Macaca mulatta: one gene and its partners. The protein of the gene in region 1 interacts with the protein of each later gene in a biochemical or structural test. Links are inferred from orthologs where the notes say so. Each region holds a gene or a part of one and is shown on either strand. Other genes may lie near its edges.

Evidence for each region.
Region 2: the proteins of MAD2L1 (region 1) and UBD form a complex in vitro, tested with the Homo sapiens proteins (2 studies listed by BioGRID). The link is inferred for Macaca mulatta from reciprocal best matches to the Homo sapiens genes MAD2L1 and UBD.
Region 3: the proteins of MAD2L1 (region 1) and REV3L form a complex in vitro, tested with the Homo sapiens proteins (2 studies listed by BioGRID). The link is inferred for Macaca mulatta from reciprocal best matches to the Homo sapiens genes MAD2L1 and REV3L.

What each region holds. Positions count from the first base shown.
Region 1 is NC_133410.1:128,907,279-128,911,031, reverse strand, and holds the start of MAD2L1 (mitotic spindle assembly checkpoint protein MAD2A), read left to right. Parts: upstream 1-1,458; 5' UTR 1,459-1,533; coding exon 1,534-1,606; intron 1,607-2,445; coding exon 2,446-2,592; intron 2,593-3,753. UniProt on the Homo sapiens protein: Component of the spindle-assembly checkpoint that prevents the onset of anaphase until all chromosomes are properly aligned at the metaphase plate.
Region 2 is NC_133409.1:153,782,399-153,786,151, forward strand, and holds the start of UBD (ubiquitin D), read left to right. Parts: upstream 1-1,358; 5' UTR 1,359-1,724; coding exon 1,725-1,751; intron 1,752-3,753. UniProt on the Homo sapiens protein: Ubiquitin-like protein modifier which can be covalently attached to target proteins and subsequently leads to their degradation by the 26S proteasome, in a NUB1-dependent manner.
Region 3 is NC_133409.1:16,441,704-16,445,356, forward strand, and holds part of REV3L (DNA polymerase zeta catalytic subunit), read right to left. Parts: intron 330-3,653; coding exon 1-329. UniProt on the Homo sapiens protein: Catalytic subunit of the DNA polymerase zeta complex, an error-prone polymerase specialized in translesion DNA synthesis (TLS). Lacks an intrinsic 3'-5' exonuclease activity and thus has no proofreading function.

The DNA of each region.
Region 1 (3,753 bases):
GTACAGGCAGAACTCTAAGCCAGTTCCCCACATTCCTGGCCCCTAGAGAGCACACCTACATAATCCCCTCCCCGGAGTCTGGGTAGGAAAACTACAAATATGAGCAGATATCACTTCTGGGACTAGGTTCATCAAAAGGGAGATGTGACTGGGTCTGACTTAATCAGGTGAGCCTTTAAAAGGGGCTGGGGTCTCCCCGAAATCACAGAGATGGGAAGTGTGAGAAGGCTTGTGGAAGGGCTAGCTGACAAACATAGCTGGCCTCTGGCCAACAGCTGGCGAGACAAAATGGACCTCAGTCCAACAACCCCAAGGAAATTCCGCCAGAGGGCTTAGAAGGACCCCAAACCTCAGATGAGATCCCACTTGCAGACCCTTCGATTTCAACCTTGTGTGACTGAGCAAAGCAGTCAACAATGCCACGTCCAGACTTCTGACCTACAGGACTGAGAAAACGAATAGGTGTTGTTTTGAAGTCACTGATGTGTGGTAATTCGTTATGCAGCAAACGGAAAACTAACAACACTCAAGTATTTCTCTTATAATGTCTGGCAGATATGAGAGTTTTTCAGGCGTCGTTTTACAAATATCTTCCTAGCTGCTTTAAGAATAAACTTCTTTCAAAATGGACATGAACATTAATTGTGCAATATGTCCTTAATAATTCTCACCCTTTTCAATGAAAAGTCATTGAGTTTGGTGAGTCAAGATTCATTGAAAAATTCTTCAATGTTGATGGGCCTCTTTGGTGAGGTGACCTTATTCCTGTCCTGCCCCCTAAGGGTGGGCAGGGTGGACAGAACGCAGCCTGGACTTCCGGATGCAGCCCCCTACCGCCCGACTTGCCTACCCCGCTGGCCTCGGAGGGGTGGCCCTAAGCCCAGGACAGACGTGGACAAAGGGCAGAAAAAAGGATGCAGTTCTCTTTAATCCCTAACCCAATTTCTCGGGAAAAGCCGCGCTCCCACACAGAAGGCGAACCCTCTAAAGCTGTGGGTTGGCTGCTGTGCACGTAGTCGCTTTAGGAATTCCCAAAGCATCTAGCGGAAGTTTAGATCTTTCACTAGGGGTCACATGGGCCAGTACGGGCGCAGCTGGCAAACCGTTCCTTTCAGTTTGAAAGTATCTTTGAAACTCGGAAACTGTGCTCCTTGGTCTTTCAGTTCATAAGCCTAGAGAGCGGCTACTGAAATTGGAATCGACATCTTCTTCCCTCGGCCCCAACTAGTAAACCACGACCAGAAGACACAGCCTAACCTAAACCTACCGGAGTGTCACAACCGGCAAGCGCGAGCAGGTCCACCAACTCCGCCTGCGCAAACCGGCCGTTCCCGCGAGATCGCAGGAAGGCGGAGAGAAAGGGCAGGGCCCCGCCGCGTGGGGCGGGGCTTAGAGGCTCGTCGCGCCTGCGCAGAGGACCGGACAACGCGCTGCGTCGTTACTTTTGAAACGCTTGGCGGGGAAGTGCTGTGGGAGCCGCTGTGGTTGCTGTCCGCCGAGTGCAAGTGCGTGCCTTTGTTTGTGTCCCTGGCCATGGCGCTGCAGCTCTCCCGGGAGCAGGGAATCACCCTGCGCGGGAGCGCTGAAATCGTGGCCGAGTTCTTCTGTAAGTCCTCGCGCCGGCCATTATATTGGGGGGAACTGAGTCGTGGCGGCTCAGTAGGCCCACAGCTCGGCCTCTGAGACCGGAGAAGTAATCTGGGAGCGGCGGCTGCAGGCTGTTCCTCCTGACGCGTTGCTATAACGTGGAGCTGCAAGCCTGCGTGCTGCTGGGGCCTACCTCGCGGCGTAGCCTCTTCCGGAGCGTTTCTTCCTTTAAGTGCAGATCCGTCCCACCTCCCACCCCTTACTTTCCGATACAGGACACAGCGTGACTGGGGTGGGTCCCAGTGTGGGTGTGTATGTGTGTGTTTTTTTTAACTGCGAGAGCACCCTCACCCTCCCACTCTAAGTGATTATTAGGCATGAGGCTGGCGGTAAACAAGATTTTGGGAACCCTTGTTCTCGAACAGGCCAGCTGCACGTTGTAAAGGAACCTGGCAGGATTTGGGAGGGAAAGGGGAAGATACAGGCTTGTCTGGAGCAAAGTGACTATTCAGTCAGTTGCTGACTCGAATGCAACAGCCTATTTTGACATCCTCTAGCCTCATAATCTGAATTTGGACTTGGATTACAATGAGGTGAAATTTGGCAATAGTAGGTTGATACACTTTGGCTTTTTTTTTCCTTGGCACGTGAAAACAATTATCTTTTTTTACTTAGATACAAGACTTTTAAGGATTTTTAATGCCACTTTGTACCTACTCTGCTTTCAGCAAGATACACGTGTGTTCAGTCATTTATAGCTGTATAGCCTAATGAAAATATAGCCACATCCAAATATATTTTATTTTCCAGAGTTATGCAGTGATAATGAATTTTCTGTAACATTTCTTTTGCTTGCAGCATTCGGCATCAACAGCATTTTATATCAGCGTGGCATATATCCATCTGAAACTTTTACTCGAGTGCAGAAATACGGACTCACCTTGCTTGTAACTACTGATCTTGAGCTCATAAAATACCTAAATAATGTGGTGGAACAACTAAAAGGTATTTAATCATTGGAAATAATTTGAGTCTTGCAGATTTTTTAGCATCTCAAGTGGTCATTTTTCCGCTCTGCAAATAGAAGTGTACTCACATCTCAAATATATTTTAAGTTGAGAGGAAGCAAATAATATATAAAATGGAAGAAATTCACTCTTCCCCCACTACATTGTGAGTGGGCTGAATATTTTGATGTAAGAAATCTGATATGGCTGAAAAATAGTCTTCATCAACTCCCTTAGAAGTGGCTTTCGCAGTTAATGTGGCCAAATGGAACAGGTTGGAATTTTACATAATTATAATGGTGTTCACTATCTGAGAAAATATACACTACATATTCTCAATATAATGTATTTTCTGTAACTAATTAGTTTTCTGTAGTCTAATGTTATCATTAGATTAATATCAAGGAAATTGGATTCAACCAGATAAACTTCAAAAAAAGAAAAAGATTAGCTGCTAAATGACAGAACACTCACAGTTTTTTTGTTTGTTTGTTTTGTTTTTCACATATTTCTGTTTGTCGTTTTCAAAAATTCTGCCGGTGATTCAGTAAGCCTTTTCTGTCTGAACGTTCGTTTTTCTTTAGTTCGAGAAATTGCTGTATTACCTGTCGGGTGAATACTTGTTCTTCATCTATTTCTTTTTCCTTTCTAGAATTCCTGTTAGTTTCTCTTTCTTGTTACCCTCCACTTAGGATTCTCATTTCTAATTTTTCAAATGTTTCTCCCATTTGATCTTCTAAAATTTTTGAAAGTACTACAGTGGGCATCTTTTTTTTTTTTTTTTTTTTTTTTAGAAATTATTTCTTTTGTTGTTGACCAGAAATGTGTCTTTGTTTTGCCGTTTTTATTGCATTTTTACTAACCTATTTTTAATATGCCCTTCCGATAATGGCCATGTGAACTTTTTTAGCTTGATAACTCTCTTTCAACCTATACTATCCTCTAGATAAACTGTTAACATTGCCTTGCCTTTTATGTGTACAGGAGTGGAATGCCTCAACAACCTGTGGATGTTACGTCTTAAATTGACAGGCAAGGGAAGATAGCCCTGTTGACATTTTGGCCTGGATATTTCTTTGGTGTGGGTGCTTTTCTGTGTGTTATAGAATGTTTACCAACATCTATGGCCTTTACTAACCAAATGCCAGTAACAAACCAC
Region 2 (3,753 bases), on another chromosome or scaffold:
CCACAAAATACATTTAAATAATAATTAATGTTTTCAATTTTATTAGCTATCTAATAAAAGCTTCATATAGAAGAACATGATTTATAGTAAGCTTTTGAAGTAGAGAAATGAGCTGTTGCATTTTATTACTCTACATCAATCCAGTACTTCTGTAAATTCGATTCTCCAGGACAGAACCTCCTAGAATAAGATGGGGTCATTTGCGATCTGTCAGTGAGTGAAGGTACAGTAAATGCCTCTGCAAACAGAGAAGATAACTTGGCATTTTAAAGAGCTTCCTACTTTGAAAAGATTTGAAGCACTTGAAAACATACTTTTAGGCTGGACACGTTGTCCCACATCTGTAATCCCAGCACTTTGGGAGGCCAAGGCGGGCAGGTTGCCTGAGATCAGGAGTTCGAGACCAGCTTGGACAGCATGGTGAAACCATGTCTCTACTAAAAATACAAAAATTAGCAGGTGCCTATTATCCCAGCTACTCGGGAAGCTGAGGCAGGAGAATCACTTGAAGTCTGGAGGCGGAGCTTGCAGTGAGCTGAGATCGCACCATTGCACTCCAGCCTGGGCAACAAAGTGAGACTCCATTTCAAAAAAAAAAAAAGCTTTTAAAAACTGGTTCCATAGCAATGCCCTGAGAGTTTGGGAGGGGGCAGTAGTTAATTTGGGATACGAGGAGGATCAGAGTGATGGAGTAAACTTCCCCGGGACAGGCACACCTTTCTTGTCTCCATCTAAGTCTCAAGGGTGAGGGAGAGAGAGCGGCACCTTTAGGTTTGTCTGAGATCACAGTGGTGAGGTGCATCCAGGAGTAAAGGTAGAGAAATAGAGGCCCCGCAGTGTGAGAGTGGATGTTGATTGCTTTGTGTGTTGAAGTGAGGAGTCAGCATTTAATTGTTGGCTTAGGATTGTTCTCAAGTAGTGGATTTGGTTTGCAGGTTCTGGGACAGGGTAGGACGTATGTTGGAGAGCTCAAGACCCAGAAATCCAATGTTATTTTGCAAAGGGAATTTTACAAGCAAAGTTTTCTGAGCCTGGAAGACACTTAGGAATCTTTTCCAGTCATCTCATTTTATAGACTGGGAAACCAACATCTAAGGAGATGAATGGATTTGCCCAAGGTAATGTAGCAAGTGGCCCTCCTGGGACTCTAACTCGTATCTCCTCTCAGTCTGAGGTTATTTCTCCTATGTCTTCTTAAGGCATGTTTTACACCTTCTGCCAGACTAGTCATGTCAGGCTCACAGTCACAGCACTCCACACAATGCTGACTGCCGTATCCTGCCTGGGTGCTCTCGTTCTTAGGACGGCCCCTGAGTAATGGGGTGCTCTTAAAGGCAGCATGAGAGGTTCAGCAAGCATTACAGGTCTTCACGCCAGTGAGGGCCCAGGCCACAGGACGGACAGTAATAAGTCAGAACTGGGAGAGGAGGAGTGGATTTTTAATCAGGGAAAAGTTTTCAACACAGAAAGACCATCCCTTTTGGAATGAGGATTGCAAATAGATTGCCTGAGGGGAGAAGTACGTAATCAGAAAGCATTCTTTGTTTATTAACTCCTGCCCAGCAAAAGTGAAAGAAAATTCATGGGAGCATGCAAGAACAAAGGGCACAGCAAAGCTGGACAAACACAGCAATCCAGGAGGGGATTTCCAATTCAACGCTGGTATATAAGCTGGAGTTAAAATCCTTTTTCTGTCTCTGGTTTCTGGCCCCTTGACTGCAAAGATGGCTCCCAATGCTTCCTGCCTCTCTGTAAGTTGGGATTTGATAAAGGGGATGGGGAAAGGAAAAGCACTTTCAAGAGTTGGGGAGAGATCTTAGAAACGGGGGATGGACAGTACTCAGGGCTCTGGGTGGCTGGGCAGGCATCCTTAAGGGGAAGAGGCTGGCATTGACATTTGCAGAATGGGAAGAGGGATTGTCTGAAGAGAAGCTGGTTATCTGGCTTCTGTGTTCTTTTTTTAATCAAACATTGGACTAGCTACTCTTAGGGATAAATGGTAGAAAAAAAAAGTGGGGGTGAGCTTTGTGTTCCACAGGGCTGGTGAGATTTGAAATTATGGAAACATTTTTTAGGGTTCTTAAACTTAATCTTCTCTTTCCTCTCAAAGGAGAGCTTCACAAAACTCATTTATCTGAAGTTGTTAATGATCTAACACATTACATTATATAAGAAAGTATGCACTATGGAGAGAACCTGGAATTAAGGCAATGCTTAACACAGATCCTCCAGTGAAGAAATGTCTGCAATATCTAGATTGGGAAAATATTTCTGAATGGAGTATGAGGGAGGTCTTCTCAGGCTTTCAAGTGGCCATTAGGAGTGAGTTTTCCAGTCTTTTAGGGTTTTCCAGCTATTGAAGTAAGACTTAGACATAGTCCCTACCTTCTGTGAGTGAGGCCTTGGTCTAATCAAAGGAGATCGTATTCTATATTAGATAGATATAAAAATACAAGAAATATAAATTAACAAGAAACATTGAACGTAGTGTCACTGTAATATGTAAGTTATTATTGTAAAGCAGTGGGAGATTAGAAAAAAAAATAACAGTTCAGTGATTATGTGCCCTACCCAGGATTTCCTTCTGAAGTATTGACAGAGGGTATCCTATTGCTGTATCTTATGAGGCTGTCATATTTTAGAAATTCTCTTTGACAGTTGTTTTTAGAGTCTGGTGTACATCTTTTGAAGCTCTGTATTTACTTTTTTGACATTTGACAAACTTTATCTGGATAGGAGAGGCAGGTAAATAAGGTGGAAAACCTTTAATTACATCTCGAGATGAATAAAGGTATGTTTTTTACATCTATTGAAATGCACAGAAAAGCGAAATAAAAAATTGTCAACTAAAAAAAATCACACAATTTATAAATTTAGAAAGGAGACTTCATTTCTTATGAAGGGTTATAGTCTGCAAGGTAGCCATTCTAACAAGCTGAGAAGCTCGGCTTCTGGTTGAAAACCAAAAGCAAGCTTTGTAGGAGGAAAGTGACACAGGAATTTATGCTGAAGGGGTTTGCTAAGTATACATATCCAATAGGTTATGGCAGAGGCAATGAATATTCATGAAGGGAGTCCTAATGCATGCATGTTGAATAAGCTTGCATGTTATATACCACCCATGGTCACTCTGAGGTGGAGACTTAACATTTAATTGCATTACAGTTAGGCCTTATACATGAAAAGGCGAAGCAGGGACACAAAGGCATTCAAATGTGCAGCTTCTGTAGACTAGCCAGAACCAGTCCATGGTCAGTGGTCTCTTATCAGGAGAAAATTACTGAAATCAGTCATTTGTCCAATTAAAACTGTAGTTATGGCTTGAGGAACAGGGGGTCAGTTAGCCTATGGATGAACTGTAATTGTTTTAATATTGTTCCTCTCGAGGCCAGTGCTTGTTTAGCTGCTACAGAAAAAAGAAAAATACTTTGTGGCAGTTAGAACATAGTTTATTCTTTAAGTGTAGGGATGCATGACTTAACTCTTGCCTATTATAGCCTTAGGTCTTGTTTAAAATTTGCTACAAAAATCTTATTGCCACCAATAATCCATTCTTTCAGTCTTATAATCTCTAACGTTGCTAGTCAGTTGTGTCTAAACTGCAAAAGGGAGAAGATATAATGAGGCATGTCCAGCCTCCTGTTTCATCATGACTGAGGTATTTTATTTATTTATCTTTTTGAGACAGAGTCTCACTCTGTTGCCCCAGCTGGAGTGCAGTGGTGCCATCTCCACTTACTGCAACCTCTGCCT
Region 3 (3,653 bases), on another chromosome or scaffold:
CTCCAGTTGGCTTGGTTTTAGGCAGTTTCTTGGAACGTTCATATTGTTCTTTGGCTTGAAGCCACACTTGAACCAGTTGTCGACTTGGGGCACATTTGCAAGGCATAATCACAATTTTTTTATCTTCAACCATCTTAGGGCTATTACTTGACCCTTTATTGACAACTCCTTGGCCACTGCGAAGGGGTGACCCTGGCCTTGGATTCTGAGTCATTGCTGAGAATGCTGTTTTCCAAAGACGAAGTCCTTCCAAGGAAAAGTCTCCCTCAAACTCAGCCAGATCATTTGCAAGTCGAGTTTCTACCATGAGGAGCCGTCCACCAATCTCCCTATAAACAACATATTTTAGAACAACTGTTTTGTTTCAAAGAGCAATTACTAAAATATTTAACTCCATATCCTAGATAAAGTCCCTTTTGGAGTCTCAAAAATGTCCATTTCTATCTTCCCTGCCCCCTCTATTTTATGTAGGTACACTCTATCTTTAGTCTCAATATGCTTTTCCTCACAGGTATATGACTACTTAATTTCCTTTGGAAGGTACCATTAATCTTAGGGAGAGAAGGTATTTTTTGTTTTATTTTAATGCCCAATGAAGCCTTCTGTCCTTCAAGGAGATGAAACAAACTTTTCAGATTCCTTTCCTCTCCTAATATTAAAGTAATTTTCCATTATTACCACATATGAATAAAAACAATAAAGTAATTTATCATTCAAATACTATGTCCTAGGATATTATTCATAGCTTCTTCCTATATTCTCCAGTATTTGTAGTTTAGCAAAGCGAGTCAATTCAAATGAATCTTCGTACTCTCAAATCCCTTAAACATTAAAAAAACATACCAACTGAGGTAAATTATCTAATTCTTTCTTCCCATTCCATGGTAGGGATTAACATTGACATAACTTAGGAGATGGCAGAGCCCACAGGATACATGGCTTAAATGTTACCAATGTATGAATATGTGGGAAATCACTAATGAAAACAGTCTGGTTTCATTTCCAAAAGCTATAAATATTAAGTAAAACCTCTTTCTCTAATCCCTTGATACTATTTCTGCTTACTACAGCAACATAAAATAATTCTACTTCTTCATGTTAACTTTATTATGGATATAAAGATAATTCATAGTTTTTTCAATCACTTCTCTTAGGGTGTGATTCCCCAAATGTCCCCATCATTCTCTACATAAAACTCCACTAACTAGATTCATGTTTTCAGATCTGAAGCTGAAGGAAAAGCATTAGGGCTACCCTGTCTCCTTTATATGAAAAGACTTTAGCCCCTACTAGTTAACTCCATAACCAGCATCCAGCACTGTCCCTGCATCCACTCTTGGCAATGTGAAAAATCAGAAACAGAATTATGATTGGTGTTGAAGAATTAATGCTGTTGAAGGAAATGAATACACATACCAAGTGACCATACCCAACTCTAATACTAAGGATAGAGAAGTCATAATGAGGTCAAGAATAAAAAATGGTGAGGTGTGGTGAATTCAGTTTTCTTACGTACTGTCAGCAGCATGGTAATTGCTATAATTCACTAGGAAAAAAAATCTCCTAATATGTAACAAGAGTCTTATATTTTCCAGTAATCCTACTTCTAGGGCTATAAGGACAAACTCCAAAATACAAGAAATGCTTTAAGAAGAAAATGCTAATATCTTCTTAACATACATAATAATATACATACTATCTATAGTGGCAAAATCACAAACAATCTTTCTGTCCAATAATATATACATGATGCAACACATGCAGCGATTAAAATATTCAAGAAACTCATTTGGAAAATGTTTACAATATAATGTTAAGTGAAAAATGTGGATAATACTGTGACTACAATAAGATCACACTTCACAAAACAAAACAAACTAAAAACTATACTTTTAAAGAAAACAGAAAACACATCAAAATATTATGGTGGCTGTTACTATATGGAAAAATGGTGTAATTTTTATTTCTTCTTCTTTCATACTACCTAAATTTTCTATATTGAATATATAGTTTCTTTTTTTTTTGAGACAGAGTCTTACTCTGTCACCAGGCTGGAGTGCAGGAGCGTGATCTTAGCTCACTGCAACCTCTGACTCTCTGTTCAAGCGATTCTCCTGCCTCAGTCTCTTGAGTAGGGATTACAGGCACATGCCACCATGGTCAGCTAATTTTTGCACTTTTAGTAGAGACGGGGTTTCACCATGTTGGTCAGGATGGTCTCGATCTCCTGACCTCGTGATCCGCCTGCCTTGGTCTCCCAGAGTGCTGGGATTACAGGCGTGAGCCACTGTGCCCGGCCTACAGTTTCATATTTTAAAAAATATTTTTCAAAAATGATTATTTTTTATTTTAGCTGTAGGACAAGTGTCAAAGTTGGACAATAACAACACAAACATAATGACTAGCACATAGTTTGGTAACTAAAAGTAAATATACCATAATCACTACTGATAACACCAAAGTCCCCAAAATGATGGAAACTAATGTTTAAGGAACAGACTTCATATGCCCCAGCAGTGAAATAAAGAGTTCCATGTGGGTACTAAACAAAACTGTGTTGAAAAGGGGCTGGGAGGTGAACATTTCTACCCTTCACTTCAAGTCATTATAGGAGAGAACTTTTATTCTACATTTCTGATAACATTTTCTCACCCCTTTATTAAAAAAAATAAATTTTTATCATGTATATTTAAGGTATAAAATATGATATAGTATATAGTAAAACGGTTCTTACCGTGAAACAAATTAACATATCCATCATTTCACACTCTCACCCCTTTTTTAAATGGATTCCTATAGGAATTACTGTGAATCTGCTGGGTAAAAGCCTGGCATTCACTGTCGTGTTTTTTTAATTTAAATTTTTTTGAAGATATTTTAACAGCTTTAGGTTGACAGCAAAATTGAAAGGAATGTACAGAGGTTCCCATATACTCCTTGTGTGCCCACACATACATGCCCTCCCTCATTATCACCATCTCCTACCACAGTGGTACACGTGTTACAATCAATGAACCTATTTTGACACATCGTAATTGCCCAAAGTCCATAGATTATATTTGGGTTCGTTCTTGGTGTGGTACTTTCTATGGCTTTCAACAAATGTGTAATATTCATATTGTATCTTTCTTTTTTTTTTTTTCCACTGGAGTCAGGAAGATGGTGCTGCCACAGGTCAGTGCATACATGCAGTGTGGCCTCTGCTGCTCTTCATATCTCTTTCCAAGATTTAGACTAAGGCAGGGCCTGCCTTAGCAGTTCCAGCCATCCTCTTCTGCTTCTGAATGGATGGTTGAAATGAACTGCCTGCTCTGCAACTGTTTAAGTATATGAGATCATGGACACAGGGGCAGGAACAAGAACCATCATTCAAACTTTCTGGATTAAGCCACGTTACCCAATTTAGCTTTTATCAGTTATGTCCTAACTTGGCGATGAAAGTGGTACACAATTACTCAACTACAGATAAATAAACCACTACTGTGATTTCTATTTTGCTATTTGCTGCATGTGTGCGTGTGCTCACATGTTTGTCTATCAATTCCCTGAAGAGATTTTTTTTTGAGATAAAGTCTCTTTCCATTGCCCAAGCTGGAATGCAGTGGTGTGAACACAGCTCACTGCAGCCTTGACATCCTGGGCTCCAGTGATTC